4 linked regions of the Drosophila melanogaster genome follow. The gene in region 1 interacts genetically with each later gene. Each region holds a gene or a part of one and is shown on either strand. Other genes may lie near its edges.

Evidence for each region.
Region 2: of tefu (region 1) and stg, changing one suppresses a phenotype caused by changing the other (phenotypic suppression), as found in Drosophila melanogaster (one study listed by BioGRID).
Region 3: of tefu (region 1) and mei-W68, changing one suppresses a phenotype caused by changing the other (phenotypic suppression), as found in Drosophila melanogaster (one study listed by BioGRID).
Region 4: of tefu (region 1) and wrd, changing one enhances a phenotype caused by changing the other (phenotypic enhancement), as found in Drosophila melanogaster (one study listed by BioGRID).

The regions. Positions count from the first base shown.
Region 1 is NT_033777.3:15,239,090-15,243,829, reverse strand, and holds the start of tefu (telomere fusion), read left to right. Parts: upstream 1-1,593; 5' UTR 1,594-1,609; intron 1,610-1,667; 5' UTR 1,668-1,686; coding exon 1,687-1,887; intron 1,888-1,945; coding exon 1,946-2,054; intron 2,055-2,105; coding exon 2,106-2,291; intron 2,292-2,349; coding exon 2,350-2,570; intron 2,571-2,626; coding exon 2,627-2,971; intron 2,972-3,032; coding exon 3,033-4,136; intron 4,137-4,190; coding exon 4,191-4,368; intron 4,369-4,425; coding exon 4,426-4,595; intron 4,596-4,646; coding exon 4,647-4,740. UniProt on the Drosophila melanogaster protein: Serine/threonine-protein kinase which recognizes the substrate consensus sequence [ST]-Q. Required to suppress spontaneous apoptosis of proliferating cells during development, and for their proper differentiation. Required for female fertility.
Region 2 is NT_033777.3:29,251,424-29,257,520, forward strand, and holds stg (string), read right to left. Parts: upstream 4,378-6,097; 5' UTR 3,506-4,377; coding exon 3,450-3,505; intron 2,539-3,449; coding exon 1,155-2,538; 3' UTR 720-1,154; downstream 1-719. Other genes in the region: CG45544 (uncharacterized protein), read left to right, coding at 5,241-5,474. UniProt on the Drosophila melanogaster protein: This protein functions as a dosage-dependent inducer in mitotic control. It is a tyrosine protein phosphatase required for progression of the cell cycle. It may directly dephosphorylate Cdk1 and activate the Cdk1 activity.
Region 3 is NT_033778.4:19,454,520-19,460,162, reverse strand, and holds mei-W68 (meiotic W68), read right to left. Parts: upstream 3,994-5,643; 5' UTR 3,188-3,993; intron 2,192-3,187; 5' UTR 2,112-2,191; coding exon 1,745-2,111; intron 1,687-1,744; coding exon 1,058-1,686; 3' UTR 640-1,057; downstream 1-639. Other genes in the region: CG7744 (uncharacterized protein), read right to left, coding at 4,993-5,643. UniProt on the Drosophila melanogaster protein: Required for meiotic recombination. Together with mei-P22, mediates DNA cleavage that forms the double-strand breaks (DSB) that initiate meiotic recombination.
Region 4 is NT_033777.3:18,170,818-18,178,912, reverse strand, and holds wrd (well-rounded), read right to left. Parts: upstream 6,070-8,095; 5' UTR 5,964-6,069; intron 5,788-5,963; 5' UTR 5,629-5,787; coding exon 4,723-5,628; intron 4,374-4,722; coding exon 3,869-4,373; intron 3,581-3,868; coding exon 3,384-3,580; intron 3,311-3,383; coding exon 2,976-3,310; intron 2,910-2,975; coding exon 2,679-2,909; intron 2,607-2,678; coding exon 2,214-2,606; intron 2,109-2,213; coding exon 1,865-2,108; coding exon of another isoform or gene 1,820-1,864; exon of another isoform or gene 1,672-1,819; intron 1,011-1,671; coding exon 867-1,010; 3' UTR 538-866; downstream 1-537.

The sequences.
Region 1 (4,740 bases):
CTGCAAAGTGCGCAAAAAAGAGAAGAAACCGCATGGACAAAGGCGAAAATTCTGGAATGCTAAAAACGCAAACACACGCGCCCTCACAAGCACACACACACATGCATATACTTAAATATATGTAAACCACGCTGCTGAAGCCAGGTCATTTTGGAGGGTGATTCGTATGTGCGAGCGAGGGAGACAACCACTGTGTCCGGGACGGCTTTGCGTGTGTTGGTTTTACCCGCTCACAAACACACGTGCCCGCACTTTGAATGCCGGTTGGCAACGTGTTTTTTTTTAGCTAAGTATATTTAATAAAAGGCCGCATAATGTATAAATTTATGAATGTTAGTTCTATTTATAAACAATGTTTATATGCCTTGACTGTATGTAAGGGAATCCAACATGTTTCTATAGCAGTATAGCATTAAAATTAAATGATCAGACATGCACGCATTTTTGTGTGGTTGTGTGGGGGGGGGGGAAGCCTCACATTTTTCCCAAGCTGGAATATTCCAGCAAAAGAGCAATGGCACTCAAAATAAATTACCAATTACGATGAGTAACTTGGACATTGATTTATTGGAAACAGAAACAATAAAAATCACAAGCAATGTCAAGACCCCGCAACGGATGACGCAAGTTTTCTCTCACACATACTCACTCAACCGAAAGTAGACTGTGACTGCAGTGAGTGGGAAGCGGCACGTTTTCCAGTGGAATATTCCAGATAATCACAATCAAGCATTAGGCATCAATATGCAATTAGTCAGAACTTCCAAAGTTTCTAGAATCTTAATTTGCCTAATTAATAGGCGCTCTATGATGCACCTTTGCAATTATGTATGTAAGTGTGCATCGAAGCGTTACTCACTGGGGTCGAAAGTTCGAGAAACCTTGCCTTCTTTGAGAGTATTGATTAAATAGTAAAGGGGCTACAAAAAACACGTGGTTTGATTTCAAATTATTTTCCGGCAAACTTAATCGAGGTGGTCGCACTTTTTTTAACAACGAAATAAATACTAAAATGTAAATAAACGCTTACCTTGTGTGTTGTTTCTTAGAAAGTACTAAAATATAACCGTTTAATTGCTACTTCACTTTTAATCTGCCGCACCTTCGATCAAACTGGCTGGCGTTTTTTTCTGAATTACACCCGTACAAAATTTGCGAATGCCTTTTATATACAAGCAAAAGTGTTACCAAAGCCATCAACAATTTTAGTACTAAATTCCCAGGGGTGTAACCGCAAAATTCTTGGCCACCCTAATAAGCGCTTCACACAGAAGTCCAGAAATGTTGACGCAGAACGTTCACACCGAAACTGTAAAGTCGTAGAAATTGGCTAATATGTAGTAGAAGCGCTGAACGTAGCTTGTTACTTTAAAAACCACATTTCCTATTCCTTTCTTAATGAATATAATTCATAATATAGGAATAATTAATGAAGGAACAGTGGAATATGGAACATGGGATTTTTTTATTTATAAATCTTTCGTTATATAAGGTTATTCTAGTTCTCCATCGGCACTTATTTGACGCACACGGCTGCCCAGCCATTTAACAACAGTGCTGTTCTTATTGATCGTGGTATTTTTTGGCGCTCTGGCAGAGGTCACTCTAAGTACATTTTGAGAGATCATTTTATGTTTAGTTTAATAATTAATACAACATTACAACAGGTTATGCCGGGCAGCCAGGATGAGTGCACTTCTAAACGAAATCCAGCGGATACTCGGGGACCTTCAGTCGGGGAAGGCAGCCAGCCGAAACAAGGGCATCCAACAGCTGGATGAAAAGCTCTCAAGTTGCCGAGAGGATCTGGATAAGTTGTTTCTTAGCAAAACTTCGGATATATCCTGGACCACAATCTTTGAAGCGTCGAAGGAGGCTCTCTTTAAGGTTCCTAGCCATTATCGTTAAACAATCAGTTCCATTTTAATTGTTAACCTAATGATAGCAAGCTGGAAATCTGGAGGATGTCAACGAGAAAGTATTCAAAACGCTGGCGGGAAAAAACTACTTGTACGATAATGTCCTCGAGAAGATCACACAATTCAACTTGGAAGGTAACTCCTAAACACTTAAACACGTTATTAAAGCTAACCTGTGATTTCCAGCGGGGTCGCAGACCTCCGGAAATGGGCATTTCCTGGCCAAAACAAGCATATTTAGTGCATTCGAGGATGGCATCAAGATGCGAGTGGTAGTCAAGTATTTTGGCGACCGCATTCTGAGCCTGCTGGAAAAGGGCATTTACTCATCGGTCAGCTATGTGCGCGACCTTAAAATTAACGAATACAGTAGTAAGTTACTTTCTGGCCCAAAAGAGACTCTTTTTTTTAATTTGATGATGTATTACAGGGATTCTCTCCTATCTTTTTGAACTGAATGTCGATATGGACGAGGTCTTGCGAACCAGAATACTGAAATGCATCACAAGAACCGTCAGTTTGGCCAAGGACCGGGTTCAGCTGCACGTGGATCTAGTGGAATATCTGCCGGAGCTCAGCAGCTTTGCGCTCTCCGCTTTTGGAGCCAGAAAAACTGAGATTGTTCGCGTCTACTTAATATTTGCATCAGAGGTAGGACTCTTATTATATCTTTAGATAATGTTAAAAACTTTGCAACAATCTTTCAGCTTGCTGTCAACTACAATCACCAATTGAACGTGCACATGCAGGAGATTCTACCTAAACTATGCGAGTATCATGACGAGGATGCGTTCCGGGACGACACCAGAAATCTGTTCTTTCAGTGCGTTTCAAAGTCGCTCCATTCAATGTATCTCAAAATGGATATGTGTGACTTTAATACACTCGGTGTGCCTGTTCATGAAAAGTGGCCGCAAACTTTACTGCGGCTGAAAACTATTGTCAATGTGGAGATCCGAAAGAATTCCTGGGCTCGCTGCAAGAACGCACTACTGAGCAATAATAAATTTTCTGACCCCTTCATCAAGATGTCTGCCCTGGCTATGTATATAGTACGTCGCATAAGCTAGTAATATTTAATATATTTAATTTTAATTATATTATTATTTGCAGGTGCTTTGGCACTTGGAGACGAAAAAGGCTGATGAAAATGGGGAAGGCGATGCGCCGAAAAAGATCCCGAAGCCTGCAGATAAAATGGAAACTATATTTAGTCTGATCGACAAAAAGGAAAACACCTTTAACGACGTCTGGCTTGCGATATTCACTGAGATACTTCAGCTGAGTAGCGTGATCCTAAATGTGGCCAACTACCAAATGGCGCTAACCACCGTGGCGGAAATAATGCAAATGTACGGCAATGCGAAAAATCTCCGGAACCTTCGGTTATGCCTGGCTCATCTTTTGACTAAAGAACAGGAGCTTTTGCACTCTAAATCTATTCGGGAGGATTTTCTGGGTGAGCTTTGGAGTCAAATGGCAAACCAGCTCATATCAGAGACAACAACAAACAGTGAGGAGATCAAGGAGAAGCAATTGGTGCTGCAGATGCTGATCAGACACAATAAACTAAATCAAAAGTTGTCCAGCACGCTGCTTAACAATATTATCTCGAATGAAATGCTAAAGCGCAACGAATGCTTAGCGACGATTCGAGAGATCTTCATCCATGCTGATAAATGTGGTCAAGATAAGGCGTCCGCTGACTTAGAACCCATCATAGCTTGGGCATACGGAAGTGCGGATAGATTCATCGCCGCTCAGATGATACACAATATAGACAGTATTGATGCCCAGTTGCAGGCGGATACTTTTGCAATCAGCATTATAAATTTTTTGGATGTCCAGCAATTGCGACAGATCTCTCAATCAGAACACATTGTTCCTTCCACCGAACGCAATCTTTTGGCCTACAAGTACAACGAACAGCTTATTTGCTTTGACAAGGACTACGCCACTCCTTTTGAGTCAATCACTCACATTCAGAGCGAAACAAAGAATTGTTTGATTCAATCCAATTATGATTGCCTAATGCGAGGCCTTAACTTTGAGATCGCGAAGGAGAACAAACCGGCGGCAATAATAAAAAACCTGAATAGTCTATTAAAGTTGATCTGCACAATGGAAAGGCTTTTGCATTACAAGGTTTTCGATGCAGATACCTATACTGGCTGTCCACTTATAAAAAGAATTGGACTATATCTCAGCCACATTGAGGTGGGTGCCAAATGAATAATCTTTCAAAAACTCGTTTTCTAATACCCATTTCAGTTCCAGCTCAAGGCGAACGGAGCTGAGATTTTAGATAAGAGCGATTTACCAGAGATTTTACGTCTGGAAATCTATGTACTTGATGTATTCAGGACGAATTTAGTCTTACTCGATTATTTGGAAAGGCAACCCATTGAAATGTTGGTGGAATTTGTTGGCGCTGCTCTCAAGTTGCATTGTAATGTAGTTTTCAATTAACGTATCGCTTTAATAATTGAAGAGTGGAATATTTTAGCCATGCAGAGGGAGCGATCTGTAGATGCAGATCATGGAACAATAACGCGTCTGTGCCTTAATATTTTGGCTGGTCTTTGTGCGTACAATTCGCACCGGGATGAAGCATTCGAGCACATAGTAAAGGTAACGATGCGTTGGCATCCACAGGATGTGCTTATTGTGACCAAGGTAGGAGTTATATCGTAACCAAAACAGAAATAATTTTGAAATCTCTTTAAGATGTTATGCAGCTGCCAAACGATTTCTGAAGCATCCAGCTCTTGGTTAGTGAGCAAATTGAAGACGCTTTTCCAGCAGCATCATCAGGATGCGG
Region 2 (6,097 bases), about 14 Mb from region 1:
TAATCTGCTTTATTTACTGAAATTCGATTATCATAAGCCGATTTTCGGAAAGTGTTAGGCTTTGCCTTCAATTTATAGAACAAGTTAACAAATTTAAAAGAGTATTTGTATATCGTATGCGTGGGTTTAAAAAAAAAAGCATCACGTGTCCATCTCTAATTTAAAGAAATATAAAGTGACATACAAATTTTCGTATAACAGTCTGCCAAAAAGTCGCCGCTGTTATACTCAATTTTTTACGGACACAGCGCCCTCTGACATTTACAAAGTGCAACTACTCGCTTTGCGCGCCAATTTCAAGTTGTTAATTCTGTGAAAACCCATAGAGTACCGAAATCCCGCACATAATGCGCATTTGGCGCCATTTGAATGATAAAAATTCCAGGAATTTCAGTTCTTTTTCGTCGTGTATTAATGTATATTTAAAATTGATGGTCTTTGTTCAATAATATTGCCTTTTTTGATGCAAAAATAAGCTTTGCTTAAATAATAATCATTACATGGTAAAATATTTGTTTTCTTGTTTGCATTTGCGTTTCGGTGCCTTGTTGTTCGGTTACGGATTACATAAAAATAAACAAATAATAAGCGTAAATTGTACCTAGCAGAAGTTTACAACTTTCAACTCTTAAACGATAGATCTTATAAATAAAGTTTTATGGATGAAATTAATGAGCGTGTTTGTTTTTGTGTGATATTTGTTTTCTTTTTTTTTTTTTGTTTTTAGCCATTTTTTGTTCTGCTTATCATCTACAAATGATTAAGGGGTCTGATTTCGGGATCGGCCTCTTAAATTTAAATGACATGGTTCCTCACGTTTTTAGATTATAATGCACATTTTTCGTTTGCTTGTTCGTTGGTTATCTTTAAAATTTGAACTAGAGTGCTTAAATAATTGAACTAAAGCCGAAACCATAAAAACAATAATAACTAAACAAAAGCGTTAAATTCCAAATGAAATTGTCTGTTTTGCATGAATGCGAGTGTCGGGTGTGTGTCTGCGTCGTGTGCGAGAAACTTAGTCTACGGATTAACAAATGAAAATCAACAAAAATCAACTTAAAAGCAGCATGAAATAAATACCCCTATACGTCTATATATACAATACGATAACACCCAAACTTAGATAACGAACTGCACGATCATCCCACAACCTACAGCATCAGTCGCGAGCGCGACTTCTTTAGCCGCCCGGTGGCACCGCCCAGGCCATCGCCGTTCCAGGACTTGGACTTGGCGCGAAAGTGGCGATAGGCCTCGTTGTAGGCGGGATCCAGCATGGTGCGGTAGGCATGTGGTTCGCACAGCTCAACGTGCGACTCGAAGAACTCCTTGTAGCCGTTGTGCAGCAGATAGATCTCGGGATAGTGCAACGCCGGATAGGCGTTGGTATTCCTCTCGCGATCCAGATTACGCAGGAAGCGGGACATTTTCGGTCCACGCTCCGAGGAGAATTCGCAGTGGAAGATAATGATGTTGCGCTTGTGTCCCGATTCGGCGTTCTGCTGCTGCTGCAGCTCAGTCTGTTGGACGGTGAGGAACTCATCGAGGATCTGCTCGGTGGTGTACAGGTTCTTGGCTCCCTCGATGTGGCCGCCCTCGAATTCGTAGGGGTAGCGGCAGTCGATGATGCGGTAGCTGGCCACCTTATCGCTGAACTCGCCCTTAAGCAGGCGAGCCACTGTTTCGCTGGAGATGCTCTTCAGATCCCGATGACGACCCTCCATCAGGGGCAGGGCATAGGCTTTGCTGAAGTCGCCGATTAGCTCGGGCTCGTTGCGGTTCTCGGAGCGGGCCAGGGCGGACATGATCTCGGCGTCGTTCAGGGACATGCACTTCCTCAGTGGAGGGGGGTGGCTAATCGTGACCTGGCTGAGTGGGCTGGGTGCGGGGCAGTTCTCCTTCTCAACGGCGGCGCAGCGATGGCGTTTGCTCTGGATGGGCGAGCAGTTGGCCGATGCTGGCGGTTCCGGGCGCTTGAAGCAATCCCGGGCAGTCTCTGGGGTCTTTGGTGGTGGGGTGGTGGTGCTGTTGGTGTTGCTCTCCGTCATGCTGAGGCACCTTCTGACCGAAGGGCGGCGCATGGACAGACCCGCTGGCGATTTGGCAGCAGGCTGCTCCTTGATCTGGCCGCTGATCAGCGAGTTTAGGCCACTGGGGAAGCCCAGGGCGGTCTGTTGGCTCTGCGACTCCATCTCGAAGAGCTCCATGTACTCATCGTCCATGGAGGACTCCATGGAGCATGTGGAGGACAGGCTGTTGAAGATGCGGAAGCTGCGCGCCGGCGTGTGATCACTTGATACTCCCATAGCTGGCAGAATTTTCGGCTGGCGGACGATCTGGAAGCGCTGGGGCGAGCCCTCCGGCGAGAGCAGACCCATCAGCTCCGGACTGGCCGATCGCTGCTGATCCTGGGGCACAACGTCGTCGTCGTAGAACGACAGCTCCTCCTGGTCCATGCTCATCAGTTCCAGGGAACGGCGAGCACGACGAGATCCACTCATTTTGTTGATGCTACTCGAACTGCTGGTGTTATTACTGCAAGAGCAAACAAAGAGAGGGGGAGGATTAGTCAACTGTTCGGCATCGAGGAAGAGAGCTGCTTTTGCTTCCCTAAACTCTCGCAAGAGCGGGTCATTAAACCCAGCTAAAAATACTGACAAACTGGTGGTGGTGGTGGCGTTGGTGGTGTAAAAACAACAAAAATACCCGAGAAAATACAGAGAGGGGTTGTTGTAATTGGGTGAAGAGGGAGCTGAACTAGAAATTTACTTTAATGCAGCTTCGAAAACTGGAATTTTTGGGATTCGACTTGCGCACACGATATCATTGATACCATTTTTTTTTTTTTTGATAATTTTTACAATTCCCTAAAATTGCGAGGGAACCGTTGCGTACCGCCTTATCTTCTTCTTCTTGATTCTACTTAAGCATTAGCGGTTCTCCAAATGGAATTCCCTTTTGCTTTTCGCATGCATCTGCTTTTCAGCTTGACTTTTGCTTTTGGGTCACACGTCACGCAAGCGCAGCGATAATACAACAAAAACACGCCACAAAGAACCGCAAAGAACACGGAGGAAAAAAGGAACAAAAATCGAAAAAAAAAAAATGACTGACTGACGGACGACGGACAAAAAGCATTTTTTGCTGCTGCTTTTTTTTGGAGCCTCGCGGAAGCCGGTTTAATGAATGAAAAACGGCAAGCGAGCAACAAAACAACAGCTGAGCGCCAAAATAAAAATCGGGCAAAAAGCAAACGTGCCGAGCGTGATAAAAAGAACTCTTACTTTTGTTGGCCCCATCGTTTACATTTCTGTTTTTTGTATTTTTTTTTTGCTTTGCTGTTGTTGCTGTTGCTCTTGAACTTGCACTTTTTATCGCGTATTTTCAACTGGTATTCCTGGTGCAAAAGGGGTTTGCTGTTGCTAATCCTTGGGCGGCATAATTACCTGATATTGCAATCCATGCTGCAGTTGTTTTCCTCCACAATAGTTTCCCACAGCATTTTGTTGGTTTTGTTGTGTTATGTGTTGCGTTGGTTGCTTCGAAGAGCCGAAGATGTTTGATTTCGCTGGCGAGTCTGAAGCCGAAGAAATTGCTAAAACACAATTTGTTCTTGGTCACTCTGCACTCATTTACAGTTTGTTTTTAGAATTTGAGATGGTAGTCCTTGGTTTTTGGCTAGTATTGCATTTTAGTTAATTTAGGTTTTTTTGTTTTTTTTTTTTGTTAATGTGTCCGTTTGAGCATGATTTTTTGTTTTGTATTTCGGAGTGTGGTTGTGCGAGGTTTTTCTTTTTCTTCAATAATTTGAACCGCACAATCTCAATTCACCGAACGAGGAACCGAAAGGCTGAACAAGAAGAGCTGTTGACTCGACGACGAACTGAGAACGAATGTGCTGAATATGCCGAGCAGCTGGTTTTTATAACCGCACCCCGGCCGATCACGATCAGCTGATGAGCTAATGGGCGCGAGCGAGATGGCGCGCGTTTTTTGTTCTCTCTGCTTCGCTCTTTAGCTCTTAGTTCTCAGCTCCTTTCCTTTGCCTTCCCATCCTATCCTTTCCTTCCTATCCTTCCCAGAAGTGCCAATAGAAGAGGAAGGGAGACGGGCAACGAGCGACACCAACACACATAACGGGGACGGGGCCAGAGCCATGTGCGATGCGAAAAGGAAAACTGGGAAAATGGGAGAATCAGGATCATATGGACTCAGTTTTGGAAATCTCTGCTCATGTGGAGCACAAGAGTGCCGGCAACAGGTAGAATCCTTTCCCCTGCACTTCCCCTATCGCAAAATCCCGCACCGAATACCAATGTCCCGAGAAACGAGGAGAATCTGGCGCCTTGGTGGTCGCCAGCTCTATGGAGGCCACTGATTTTGGCGCGCGAGCTTTTATACCGCGACGCGTACCGCCGAAGGGGATCCGAAGTCGCCACAATTGGAGCCGAAGTGGAGCCGAGGAGGCTCCGAACCGAACACATGTGAAAATAGTGTGGAGCCCCAAGAAGCGAAGAGGAAACGCTGAAGAACTGCGCGAATCTTTAAGCAGAATTTCAAGGCGGCATCGATTGTGTCGTTTGCAGGTAATAATGTGAGATCCACGCATTCCTGCTGCCCCCTGTCCCCCCTTGTAACCCCTCCCTGAAAACTACATATCAGCAGGTAGTGGCCGCAGTCATATGATCGCCGCACCGGCGGGATGGGCGGTCGTGGAGGGGGCGTGGCTCCTTTGTGTTCTGCAGACGTAGACGCCAATGTCGTTAAATGAGCAAAGCTTCCAGCCACAGAGATCCATTCACAGGTAGCACTCTACACGATGGACCGTGTGTCTTTAATGAGAATCCGTACAAACACAGATCTTAAGCTAGATAAACTACTACTAACAGTAGCAAACACGTGGAAAATCATGATGTCAACCATGCGATATGACCAATAATCGATAATGTGAAGCTCAGACTAGTTGCCCACGCCGAAGCTCCACTGTAGCCCCTCGTTTGTGTGCAATCGCGGCAAAGTTAAAGCAAAAATCGAGTTACATATGCGCCGATGCCCTGCGGGAGTCATTCTGGAGGATCCGAGGGGTTCACTAAGGAGGGTTGGGGGTTTGCGAACACCCATGGGCTGTGCTGTGCAGTTCGAGTGTGTTTTTGTAAGGTTCGCGGCAAACAAATGAAGGACAGGCCAGTGCAACCAGGCCATATCATTCACACCGCTTGAAGAGCAGGCGAAAGTAAATGATTTCGGGACCAACCACAGCCGAAGCCACCAACCAAATGAGCTACGGTTTCATTCCGCTGAATTCCTTTGGCCAGCTTTTGTTGTTGCTGCAGGAAGAGCCGAGAGGATCATCTTTATGGAAAACAACCAGCACAAAACGACGAGAAGGACGCAGAAATCATAAAGTGGTTTTGAACAAGTTAAAAAAGCGCATAGGGAAGGAAAAAGCTCAGAACCAATCTCATTCATAGCGATCCGAGCGCACAGTGTGGCAAAATACATATACTAGAGGTAAATCTGTGAACTTACTACTACTATTTAAAAGTAGTTTCTAGCTCGAGTTGTTCTGCTATTTTCATTTTTACTTACCAAATTCTTATCCAGTTTTTATGCTTTTATTCATTCCAATTATAGCCTCGCAATTATGGATTTCAGATAATACCACCGTGATATCGCCGGGCTCCAGAAAAAGGGCAAAGCGGAGGAAGCGGAATCAAAAGCGTATGCAAAAGCACACTCACACACGTGTGTGTGCGTGTGTGAGTGGGTAAATTTGATAAAGAATGAGAATAGGCTGCGGAGAAAGAAATTGCAGCAACAATGTGAATGGAAATGGGAATGGGGCACAACAATAGCGGGGGACCTCAAAAACAGCATAACGAACAAAAAAAATCACAGGACCAGCAAAAAGTGAAGAGCTAAATTGTAAATCGAAATTCCAAGAAGTGAGCTTTGAGCATCGGCTCTTATTTTATTTTTTTCTCGGTCGTCTGTGCATTAAAATGCCTGCAAAGTGTGCGAAAAAAGCGTTTGAGATACTTTTGTGCGCGCGCGCTTTTCGCAAATCACTGCCAAAAGGGTTAAGGGTGGTGCG
Region 3 (5,643 bases), on another chromosome or scaffold:
TGCTGCTGTTGCTGCTGCTGATCCTTGACCGAATGCGAGGATGTGCTGATCGAGTTGGTGGCGTAGGTGGCGGTTGTGCTGGAGACGGCGGCCAGTGGTGGCACCGCGTTTGTTGCGCTCGATACTGGCGCCGCCGGTGCTGCTACATTGGATGCTGTGCCATTGGACACGCTATCCGCTGGCAGGGCCTCAGGAACTGACTGCAGTGTGGTGCGCATTGCTGTCGACATATTTTTAAACAGTCCAATAGGGATTCTTAGAGATTCTGCACGTGAGATTCGAGTATTTTCGGGAGTCTTTCAGGTTTCGGTGCTTAAAAGTAGTCAAATGCCCAATGGGTTTCTATCATCCGTGGTACTCCTTCACATCTGCAAGAAATAAATGCACGCAATTAGTATGGATCTAAACAAAGCAGACTACTTGTATCTTTCGGCACCTATAATATGACTGGCCATTCACTTGCCATTATCAAAAACGTAGCCAATTACCGGCTCCGATTACCGACCTCAAGCCATAACACTTTAGAGGCACAATAAAAAAAATAATCTCCTTTGTCTGCTTGAGTTTACTGGCTTCGTCCACACAAAGTAATGCAGAAAATCAAGTTGACCACTCAATACGAAACACTAGAAGCAGATTACTCAGACATTACGAGTGTAAATTACTATTATCCGTTATCCAAATATTAAAATTATGTTTTCTAAAGGCAAGGATCTTAAGGTACTTTAATATTAATTAGTCGTAATATTATATTGACGTTATTAAAGCTGCATTGAAATTAAACATTACATTTTATAACATAAGCAACAAAATCGGAATCCCAATGAATGGGGAATTTAATTATTAAATTACTATCTTAATTAATTCAAATATTAATGGAAAGCTGATTACGCGAACTAACTTTTACAGTACTATTTTTAGGAGTCTTATGGTATCTTTATAGAGATACGTTTTTTACAAACTAATTACTATATTACTATACCTACAACATATTTTAAACTAACTAATAATATTTCAAGAGTAATAATATTTGGCTTATGGGGTTTACCACTGAACTCTACAAAAACAAGTTCCGATTGATTTTATTTGGTATATAGTCGTCGGTCAGGAAGTCGATGACACTCTCGATTTCGGCCTTCAGCTGAACGTCCTGCAGCATGCGCAGTTCCTGCCGCACTCCCGGCTCCAAATCGTGGCGGGCGAGGAGGTCATTGATTTTCTTGTTGTCGCCGGCAACCAGGGCAACCGCTCCAGTGCCGAGTGCGGGAATCTCCGAGGGGTGTAGACCAATCCAACGCAGCGCAGGTGTGGTTAGTCCTTGGCTGGAAAAACTCATGGACTTCGAGCCATGGCGATAGACTAGCATTATCTCGACGCCAAATGGATCGGCGTCAACGAGAATGTAGGCCGCCAGTTGGTTCTCCTCGGTGAGCCGATGGACAATCCTCCGGGTACAGCAATCGGGGTATCCTTTTCCAGTTATAAGGATGAAGCGTCGTTCAAAAGTACCAAATACATTTCTGGATAAGAGACTCTCAAAAACCGACTCCTTTTCAACGATTAGCACAAATTCCGCCAGCGTTTCGATTCGATCTATCTTCTCGGGATCCGTGGGCAATGTCAGAGGTCCACCATACAAGCTGCTGTCCAGAACGTCTCCGTTGGTCATCAGCAGCCTTAAGTCGCCTGCAAGAGTAACCGGATGAGCAGGGAGCCTTTGATCAGGATTTCGAGATAAACTCACCTGCCACCAGGCCCTTGGAGGCGGCCAGTATGCCCAAGCTTAGGGGGGATGTCCTCAGCATACGACAGACATCTAGCCTGGCTTCGGCAATCCTGGACTGCGACCGGACTAGCAGAGGATTGTCATAGTATAGTCCACGGACGGTGAAACTTCCTCCGCGGACTTGCAATCGGTGCACCCGGGAGAGCATGTAAATCAGCACGCAAAAGCTATGGCGACTTCCGCGATTATTATAGCTGACTCGTCGATATTCCGAGATCACGTTTCCGGATGAATTTCGGGGAACACTAAGAGTGGCATTGCCATGAACCAAGTTGCTCAGCAACTCGAGGGCAATTCTTTCTATATTCTCCGAAAATTCATCCATTGTTCTAGCAATTTACTTATATTAGGAACGGATTCTTAACAACAAATATGTACGTCTTCTTGATTTCGTACTCTTGCAATCTACAAAATGAGGTTTTTTAATATCCAAATTAAGAGAAATTAATAATAAATATAATTTTACTTGTGAATAACAGATTTAAACTTAATTAAGCGGCATATATTTTAACAAGAACTTGGTTACTAACGCTTAAATTTTAAACAATTACATTTTTGAATTCCTCCAACTTTATGTATCCTTGCTCCCAATTTCCATTAGTTCTAAATTCGCATGAATTCTTCTGTTTATGTTCAATGATTTGAAACATTCTCTAGAATACAAAGTGTAAGCACTTTTTTGGTCTAATTTAATTGCATGGGTGGTGCCACGCCCCCGGGATTTTCTTGTTGGTTCTTTGAATGCCTTTGTCACAAGCGGAAACCCCGCAGGAAAATGAGTGAAAACTGTGGGCTAAAACGTTGAAACACGCCCACCGACCTACGCACAGTAATATTTCATAAATACGTAAGCAATTCGTGGACTTACATACTATACGAAAATCAAGTGGTCTTTGCACTTACTTATATCTGATTTTGTAAAAGTTTATCGCGTAAATCGTTGCGTGGAAACATTTCGAGGGGGGTTATAAATAATTTCCGAAAGGAGCTTGCTGGCTAAAAATATACCATCGAAATGAAAATTCCCTTTCGGTGAAAACAACTGTTTTTTAAAAATTTAAGCACGCACACTAGTTGCAAATGAAGAGAGCGCGAGGGAGAGTGCCATAAGTTTATGTGAATTTCTTTATTCGGTCTTTCATTTTTTCTTCTTATTTTATTATTCTTTTTTCCTTCTTTTTCGTATGTGCAGAAAAGTGTACTCGTTATTACAAAGCACACATACACCGAGTGTGGGCGGGCGGGGGGTTTTCGCTCTCTTTTGGGGAAGAGAAAGAGAGAGACTGACGGAAAAGAGAGAGCGCCAACGAATGGGCTAGGAAAACTGACGAACGGAACGAAACGGAATGGCAGCCCAAGTATTGATTTGCTGGTTATGGTGCTGCCACTTCTTGTACTTACCAATGAAATACAATTTCCGATTGGCCCAAGAAAAGCTAAAGCTGAAAAGCTATTAGCTCTCTCGCTCAGAGAGGAGTCGCTAGCTGATGGTCGCTGCTGTTGTTGTTGTTGTTGCCATCGATGTAACGCATATTATTATTTAATTTCTTTCGATTTTCCCAGTTCCTTTTCCGATTCCGTTTACCCGAAAGTGGTTAGGTTTGGAAAGGCTCTGCTTTTTACCGACTTTTACCGAACGAAAACGACGACACACACAACGAAATGCAAATGCAATACATAGCTTTCTCACTCGCTCACTAGCTACCTCTCGACCGCTCTCACTCGCACAGCAGCAGTAGCAGCAGCTCTTTGGTTTTCAATCAGATTTTTCTTTCTTATATTTTCTTATCGCGATGGTTTTTTCTTTCGCTTTTTTTTTAAGAAGAACGGTCACCGATTTTTCACAAGGATTACGAACGCACCCCCACTGCTCTCCCCAGTCACTGAAAAGCCACAATAATAACAACAACAACGACAGTCTTGTTGGCAACAAATGGAAATATTCGCTATATGCTCTGCGCTGCTCTGCCCTTCGCAAAACTAATGTGTATCCGCGATGGGTAATGGGTAACTTGATATTGATACGATTACTAATATTATTGATAGCCGATTAGCCGACATAAGCGGTGGCCGCAATTGGCAAACGACGATTGTCCCGCTCCCGCAACGCAGTTAAATATTACTATTTTCCTCCGTCCACATCCACTTTGGCAGCAACAAAAGTATGTACGTCTCGGTCTCTCAAAAAAATTCACATTACGATACGGCAGCCATATTGTAGCAGTGTTGCCAGCTGGACGGTATTCAAAAATACTAAACTTTTTCTCCTGTTACTACTTATATACTAAATATACAGCAAGCTGTCATCTAAAAACCGCGCCCACAGACTGATTGATTAATGTGTAATTTGAAATAACCAGCTAAATTTTACATTCGAGAATGGTTAGAGGCTACACAACCTTATATACATAATTGTTTATTAAGATAATTTAAATTCATAATATATTTGTTCAATATTAACAACAACATAAACAACATACTTTCAGGGGCAAATGTATGAATTTTTGAAGTGCCGTGCCGACTTTGGAAACGGCCACTTTGATTTCTACACCGCGCCGTTAACCAACTGGCAGCACTGCACTAAGAGAGCGTGTTCTGAAATCTAAGAGAACAATATAACATTTTTTAAAAGAGAAAAACAACCAAAAAGACAGGTCACTGTTATTATTGAATTTAACTTGATAATGAATATTTTCTTATAACTGCACTTAACTTAACAAAATAATAACCATTTTTTTGTTTTGCTTTTATTTCAAAAAATATGTATTTGTATAATAAACAATTTATCTAGTTTATGTGAGTCACAAAAGTTTAGTTAACGATAAAAACAAACTTTGAATGATTGTCTTCAATGAATAAATAACTTAGTTACCAAAGCTTTATTCTCCCTTTAAAATCAAGTAGTATTTATATTACCTTCTAATCTTACTCCCTGACTTTCAATTCCCTGAAAAGTTCTATATTGAAAACCACGAAACTTAGAGCTACACAGATTAAAGAATGTCTAGCTAAACACTACTTATTTAGTCGATTATAAGTAAAGGGAGGACTAACCTTTAGTAGAATAAAGAAGCTTAAAAACTGTAAGTCAAAAATAAATTATTTGATAATTAAGTTAAGTCAAATTTATATAATTTCCCAACTGGCGGTGATCTTTTCCAGAATTTTTTCTAAGTTTTTCTAGATATTTATGACCTCACATCACATTAGTGTATTGGCTGTGAGGATTTTGAGTTAATCTCAATCCACTTCCTAAGTAAATCCCCCGGCTGCATAGTTGGCTGTTGCTGCGGAAGAGCAGTCCTCGAGTATTGATATTCACTAGGCGTTATTGTGGGTGTAGGTGACGGCATTGGCGGAAAAACTGCGAAATTTCGCTGACTCTCACGGGCTTCGGACCAGCCGTAGTCCCTTACAGTTGCAGCACCTGTTCCGCATTGGGCTTCTGGACGTGGCTGCGACTCAAATCCAGAAGATTGTGACGAAGTGCGGGAAAGTTGATTCTGCTGTTTCTCTTCGTAATGTCTCATTAGATTGGCAGTGCATAGATCTTGGTTCACACTTTGATTGGCCGCCACCCAGGCGCTTACATCAGCTCCGCCGACGTTCCTGTTTATGGACGGCAAACGCGATGGCATCAAAAGATTTTGCGTGGATCTAGTGAAAGTATTGCCTTGGGCCAGGTTACTTTGTCCATGGCGATACCATTGGGACTCTAATGGTCTCATGGGTTTCTGTTGAAACATCATCGCCGGCTGGACACGCGGGGCAACCACTGTAGAGGCATCTCCATAGTTCGAGGACCAAGCCTGCTGTTCCATCCGTTGCTTCGACAGATGCAACGAGTCCAGGGACAG
Region 4 (8,095 bases), 2.9 Mb from region 1:
TACCACAATTTATGTGTCCTGCTGGGCGATTTGTTTCATATAAATATATTATGGGTATGCTGCTCTAACTGCTAGGCTAAATAGCGTACAATATTTGCAAATTTGAGTCGTGGAGTAGTAAACATGTTTTATATAGTATGTGTGTATAATAGTGGCATGTGGCATGAATGTCTGGATGTCATATAGCTATCTATGTATGCATGTGGCAGAAATCGGGGGATATATATGTACTCAATCAAGGTGGTAAACGCCTACGCCTTAAGTTAGACAATTCAAATTCAACTGTACAATTATATTCACGCGTTTACTGAAATGGTAAGAGCATAGTTGTGATACCAGATTATTGCACAATTAGATCTAATTGATAGGGCTATAGCTAAAGCAACGCTAGCAGCAACATGCATTGGGTAAAAGATATAAGAAATAAGAATATATATAAGAAGGTCATTCAGGGCTAAGCTTCACTGTGGCATGCGTTGGAGCAAAAGGGTAATCTTGAAATGCATATGCAAACGAAATTGGAGCTAGACAATCGATCTCGTTGGGGATTCTTGATCTTTATTGGTACTATGCATGATCACTAAAGATAGGTATTTTGTATGTGTATATATATATAGCAATTGGCTTGCATCCGTTGCCACGCCCCCACTCTAAGCCCCCAAATGCAAATGCATCGTTCAAAATTGTTTGTTCTCTAGTTGTGCGGATTCTATCCTTCATCTCTGGACTTGGACTTGTGCTTCTATATATGTATGCTTTCTGGCCTTAGTCTGGAGTGTGTAGGTCTATTTGGGTAAGTTCTGTGGTTTGACTATCCTCCTCATTGGAGCTACGAATATTGGTGGCGTCGGCTGGCCAGCTCTCTCCTAGTAGTTTCCATCCGGCGGCGGCGTTGTGAGGTACTCATCCGTCCGCTTGTGCTCGTTTAGCGCCTTCACGGTTCCACTGTCCGATGGCAGGTCCGATTTCCGGCGCAGCAGCGGCTTGTCCTTGTTCCGTTCGCCACGAATCTGTGTGGAACGGGAAGGGGGGTTTGGCAATAGAAAATGGACCCGCTTCTGACACTAAGGCATCGCAGCACACACACACACACACACTGGGCGGGTGAAGTTACACGGTGGTGCGGGATGATTGCGTTACGATATCGAGTGCTGTGGTGCTGGATGGAAACTCGATGACCACCAGTTGGACAACACACGACTACGATATATATATACATCTACACCCGAATGTCGAATTGTGTTACAAAGGTCTGAGATCGAGGAGTGTTGTATGGTTTCTGGTTCTGAGTTGTTAACAACATGATACATTTGACACTAGTTTTTAATAGTTATGTGCACAGATTTTACTCTAACTGGGATTCATGCTTAAAAATGGTGATTCACTTGAGGAAAATTATGTTAAGTGTTCAAATTAATAAATGAGAATCATATTGATGTTACAAAAGGAACGCGTTCTCTCATTAAAATGACCACAAATGAGTTAAAAGATGGACCAAAGTGTAATTAACATCTAAGTAAGATAAACTACATATTAATTCCGCCCAATTCGTATGCGGTTAACCAAAAGTGCAGGAGAAAAGTTGTTGTGTCGTGGATGAATTTGCATGGATGCGTTTGGTTTGGCAGACAGTGAGGTTACCAAATAATTAATAAATAAATAGACAAAGTTAAAGATATACAAATATGTATTTTTTTTTTTTTAAATGACATGAGTGTGATTATTTTAACAGACATTCGTTCGATTAGAATTAGAGTTGAAACAGAGTGGGCCTTAGCTGGGCACAGCTCACAGCGACGCCAGGATCACACGTGGCGGATTAGTAGTTGTTTAGTGTTGTTAATGTGGCAAGTGCCTGTCTCACCTCTCGGGGCTCCTGGTGCGCCTGTTTCTGTGGCGGCAGCGGAGGCGGCGGCTGGCGCGCCCTCTGCTCGCTCTGATCATACGCTGAATCGCTGTTCTCACTATATTGATCGCACAGGGCCCGGCTGTCGCTGACCGGCAGGCAGTCGTTAAACCGGCGCGCCTTTGTCCACTCCGGGTTGGTCTTGGCCAAGCTCTCCACCTGTTGCCAGAGCTCCTCCCTTTGCGACAGCTTCTCACGCTCCCTGCAATGCAAAAAAAAAAAAAAAACGCCAATGTTTAGTACAAAGTAATAAAACGTGAGTGCATCGTCCCATGGAAGTTAATTATCAACTAAAGTTAACACATACATCTGCTTCTCTTGCTTGTAGTTCTTGCTGCACTCGTCAAAAAGCCGCTGATCTATCTCCATGAACAGCTTGAGTGCATTGTAGATCAGACCATGGATGGTCTTGTTCCAGTGCGTCTTTGAGTTGCGATTGAGCGCTGGGAACATAATGGGTAATATCACCGCCGAGTTATCCGTTATCAGCGACATAATGTACTCGTTGTTCCAATAGTACAACGCACGTTCGGCCACCTGGAAATGAGGCGAAGAGACGCACTTGGCTATTTGGCGGAACAGCGGCACCATCACCTTCTGGAACTCGGCCGGCTCAATTACGTCCAACAGCTCCTCCAGCTCGTTCAAAAACATAACCTCCTTGGGACTGTGCGTCTTGGGCCAAAATTTAAGTAGGCTTCTGCAAGAATATTGAAATATGGCAGCGATAGGCTAATTAGAAAATGCGCAAAATAAGGAATTCTTTACTCACTTGATGACCGCCTCCGATAAGCTAGGATCCTTCTCCAGGAACTGCACCACACAATAGGTGAGCTGCGGATGGTAGACCGAGAGGCTCTTGGCTTTGTGCAATGGCAGCAATACCTTAAGTAAAAATTGTTTATGCTCCTCCTTAAGCGGCAGAGCAAAGCCATTGATAATGCTACCCAGGATTTCCAACAATTCGGCTATGCCATTATGATGCTCCGTTTCATAAATAAATCTAAATGTGGAATGCGATTAGTAATGTGAGGCATTAACCTTATAGATATTCCAATGACGAGCTCACCTGTAAAAGACATTGTTGATCTGCTTTCTAATAAATGCTCTCAAGCCCAAAAATTTTCCATAGATGCGATGTAAAACAGTCTTCAGGAAATCACGTTCACGTGGATCCTCCGAATCGAATAAATCCAATAGTTGTAATACAAATTGATGGTCGATAAAACGTTTTGCCATGCTTGGTTGAAAATCTGGTGACTCCAAGAAGCGCAAGAACAGCTCGTAAACGAGTTGCAGATGCGGCCACGAGGACTCCAACGTGGGCTCATCCTCCTCCGGATCGAATTCGGCACCATTCGGGTTGGACGATGGCGGCAGAGTTCGGAAAAGGTTGACAGCAAACTGATGAGAACAGATAAGTATGTTGTGGTAAAAGCATGTGATATTATTTTAAATATGTAAATTAGTAGCTTACCATATTGATCGCCTCCGGGTAAATAACTTCGGTTATTACGCCATTTTGGTTGGTGAGGAAATCGACCATTTCGTGCAGAGCCGCCCGCTTCACCTCCTTGAACTTGAGGTCGCTGAGCGGCTCGGAGAAGTCGAACAGTGTGCAGCATTGCTGGATCTTCTGTATGAACAGCTCCTCACGTTCACTGGCGGCGGTCTCTATGGAAATACAAATGAAATCATCATTAATTTTTTTAAATATATAATATAAGTGATAGATATATCAAACAAAATGTAAGCCATATAAAATTGACCTTAATATAAAATTAAAAAAAAAAAACCTACAACTACAAAAACGACCAACCAAAAGCAGGCAAGCGAAACTCAAAACGAACATAATGAAGATCGGAAGAAAGGATCAAGTAGCCGGAGGACCTCAGGCCCAAGGGCAATGGCTGGAATGGCTCCATCCATCGCCATTGGCCCGGATCCATTCGGGATAGCAACCTCGCAGTGCAGGCAGCGCCATGGCAACCGAAGCGGTGGGTGGCGTGTAGAATAGATTCCGGTCGCGAGCCCTTCCCGGACTGCCCGTCAGCTGTTGGAGCGTCTGGGGCGAGGGCTGAAGACCCGCCGGATGACCCGGCAGTATGTCACCGTTCTGCCGGATGCTTAGGCTCGATGTGGTCACCACCATGGTGGCGTTAGGTGTCACCATTACTGCTGATGACGCAGGTGCTGCGCCGCCATTGCGCTGGCCAATTCCCAATGAGATGCTAATGCCGCCCACCAGATTCTGGGCCACCGTCGGACGCATCTCCTCTGCGGGCACATCGCTGGTGGTGGGAACAGCGGCGACGGCGGTGGCGGCGGACGACGGCACAGCCGCCGCAGAGGATGGGGATGATGAGGAGGAGGTGGCCGCCGCTGCTGCCGCCGCCGCAGCACTAGTACCCACACTCTTGGTGGCATTCAGTATGTTCTTTATGGCCGCGGCCGCGCTCACAGGTGACTGGATGATGAGGAAGCGATGAAATGAGAGCAGAGTATGGTTTTGGTTTATCAAATTTCGGTTTGTTCAATTGGGATGGAGTTAGTGTTGGTGGATAGTGTGTGAGATGCTACTAAATGTATTAGCTTCTAGCGTACAATGTAAATAAAACTTTGATTAACAAGGTACTTGAATTGTTATTTTTTTCTTTGAAACTTAGTTATCGTTATCCAAAAAGCTAACACAATTAGTGAAAGTTTGGAAGAAAGTGTAAAATTTGTGGTTTGTACTTGGAGGTGGTGATGTGGTTATGTTTTGGGTTTTCAGATCGCTGGGTGTGTGTGTATGTGGACAAGACCAAGCTGCAAACCTTGCTGGCGGCGATGGAGCTGCTGGCTGCGTTGTTGGTGGCGGTGGATGAGGAGGAAGCTGACGAGGAGGACGCCGCCGAGGCAGAGGATGCCGCAGCGGCTGCCGCCGATGCTGCGGCGGATGTGGCCGCCGAGAAATGTTGTGCCAAAGTGGACACAAGTGAATTGCTGCCGCTAGCAGCGCCCGTTGACGTTGTTCCAGATCCAGATCCAGATCCTGCTCCTGCCGCGTTCTTCGACATGCCGGCATTCGAGGATAGCGAGAGCGAAGAAGTGGAGGACTGCGATCCAAATGGCGAGGAGGCAATCAGTGCAGCTGCAGCCGAATTCGCTCCACCACCGTATGTGGCGGCCGAGGATGAGGCCGAGGAGTTAGCAGCCGCCGAGGCTAGCGAGGATGAGGCCGCCTGTGAAAGCGAGGACAGGGCCGAGGCCGACGAATTGGAGCTGGTGGACGAGGACGATGGTGAGGAGGATGTGGTGGGTGCTCCGGATCCGGCTGCTCCTCCTGCTGCTGCCTCTGGCGGTGAGAGGGGCGTTTTCCGCCCCTCGAACTTGGCCTTTAGCTCCTCCACGCTGCTAAACCTGAATCGGCTGCCGGTCTGTTGCTGCTCCTGCTGCTGATCCTGCACCTGATCGTCCAACTCGTCGTCGGCCAGCTGATCTAGGCCGCTGTGAAACGATGGAGATTTGGGTATGCGTATGCCGAGGGCATAATACCCGGCTGCAATGGGCTGCGTTTCCTGCTCCTTGCTGGAGGATTTAATGGGCGCCGGTTTCTTTTGCTCTTGCTGCTGCTGTTGCGATTGCTGCTGCTGCTGCTGCGGCTCCTGCTGATGTTGCTGTTGCTGCTGTTTGGGACCTTTGAGCCCGTTGCCCGTCAGCAACATAGCACCGAAGACCATCTCATTAGTGCCGGCACTTGGAGCAAATGGCACTCGGTTTTAATCTTGATACGGAACGCTTGTTTTTTTTACCAGCCGCCCCCGCCGACCAACAACAACACATGAGAAAGACTACACTAGAAACTCAATTTGGGCACGCTAAGTATGAAACTATAGAATCTGTAATGGAATTGCAATATAGATAATGGTTTAGATTAACGCCAAATGCGATTATGCGCTGATGGTAACACAAAACGAAATGAAATGCAATTGGAAATGAAAATGGAAATGACAACGCCTCTGCTAAAATTCTTCTTTTGCCTCACAAATGGCCATAATTACGTGGAAAAACTTACGGTTCGAATGGGAACAAATGAGGGAATAGGATAGGAGAGCAATTAACTTGGGAAACGAATATTTTCAACTAATATTAAAGTTTTCGGGGCACACGACGTTCACGGTCTTGAAACGGTTTTTTTTTTGTTGCTTCGACTGCTGCGCCAATCGGAAAAATCGATATCGAGAGAGAATGAAATGGAGAGAAATTTGGTGAGCAGCAGACAGAGAGAAAATAAAGAGAGAGAAAGTGGGCTGGTGGGCGAGCGAGCCACAATAACAATAAAACCTAATAAAATAAAATAGTATTGAACAAGCGAAATTTGTTTATTCGATTTGTGAGTCGAAACCGCCCAAGCAATTAGCAGAAAGGTATGTGAATAACGCAATGCGATGACATTCATGCTGCACAGAAAAAAAAAGTGTAGCAATTTCATAATCATTACGCGCAGATATGTACATATATGATTTTCAAAAATATTGAATTTGCTTTTTTTTAAATTAATTCCCTGCAGGATACAGTTTTTCTAATTATTTGTATACACAAGTTTAAATCAATCGAATACATTTGTGTCATAAAGAAATGCCGGTGTATATATGAAATTTAAGACGGTCTGAGAAATCCTCTAACGATGCTTTCTCCCAGTGTAATGAGAGGCTGCGGAGAGAGCGCATGTGTTGAAATTCCGGTGAGTGAGAGAGGTGGAGAGAGGTGTGAATTGATGCGGCTGCTTGGTTCACATGTGTGAGTGGCCGTGCGTCAGTGTTGCCACCCACCTAATCAGACGACACTCCCTTGACCTTTAACTTTAACAAATAATAAACAAATTACAACAGCTGAGCGAAATTAATCAAGCGCCGGCCAATCAATATTCCCAACAAGCTTGCAGGTCGTAGGTACACTTTACAGAGAATGCCTCTTGTAAGTTAAAGCTGAACTTATAATCATGGAAATTTACCGGAGTTAATTGACATAATATATGTAATTATGCATCGTTAATGGGAATTACTACGATTTATACAATCTGTTTTGAGTGTATAGTTGCATAAAAACTTAATTGACGATGTTGGTAGACAGTAAGAAAGGTAATTTTATATCGCCTAAACGGAACCCTGCCCTAAAATGTATGCTACGACATGGCTACGACCAAGTTCTACCCCATGCAACCGATCTGCAGGCTTAAGAGATATCGATCTGAACAGCTGGCAGTACATGTATTATAAAGTAATATACTAAGTAGTAGGATCTACTCCAAGGCTACTCACTCTCGTTTAGCGGAATGAGGGCCGTCAGTTCGCAGTTCTTGGAGGCATTGTACCGGGCGCTGGTCTGGCGCTTCTCCTTGCGAACGATCGGGGTGCCGGTGATGTTCAGGACCTTGCTGATCGGCGTGGGCGGCGGTGCATCGTACGGTGGTGTGTTGTCCTTGAGTTTGTTAGCCTGCAAAGGGGCATAAATGACACTTATCTGATTATCTTTTCCCATGTCAACGGTTTGGCTTATGCTTAGTAAATGAAAATAATTTTAACAACGAATGCAAAGCAATATGCGGTCAAATAAAAAGCATACTCAAAACGTAGCACTTGCAAAATCAGAGCAAAGCAGTTCAGTTCGGGATGGTCCCTCGCTGCCATTTTGGCCGGCCATCGCTTTTACCTTGGACTGTGCGAATCCTTGACGCCTAAGTTGAGCTGCCTGTGGGTGTGTTTTAGTCTGAGTTTAGTAATGCCGAACATTGAAATGTGCTCTGGGATCAGGAAGCTGGAGTTCCGTAGGCTCTCCATACACGTATAGGATTATATTGCTGGCATCTACCAGGGAATCAGGTGGTGGCATATATGTATATATTTTCCAGGCACTAACATTTATGTATTTTTTAAAGCATTTCATTGGGCAATTTTTTGGCAGTTTCAAAAAGCAAAGTGCTCGCCTTATACTTTATGTTTTATTGCAAATGTTCAATATTTTTGTCGTTGGAGAGACAAAAATGTAAAAAATTTTCATTAAAAGTTCTTCTAGTTAATAACAGGCATGTGAGTATAAAGATTTGTATAATCAACTCCGTCTTTTGTTGACACAAAACTTTCGGGAAATCGTATAAAATCTAGGATTTAGGGCAATCTATTCATTCAATCGCAAAAGTCTTATCAG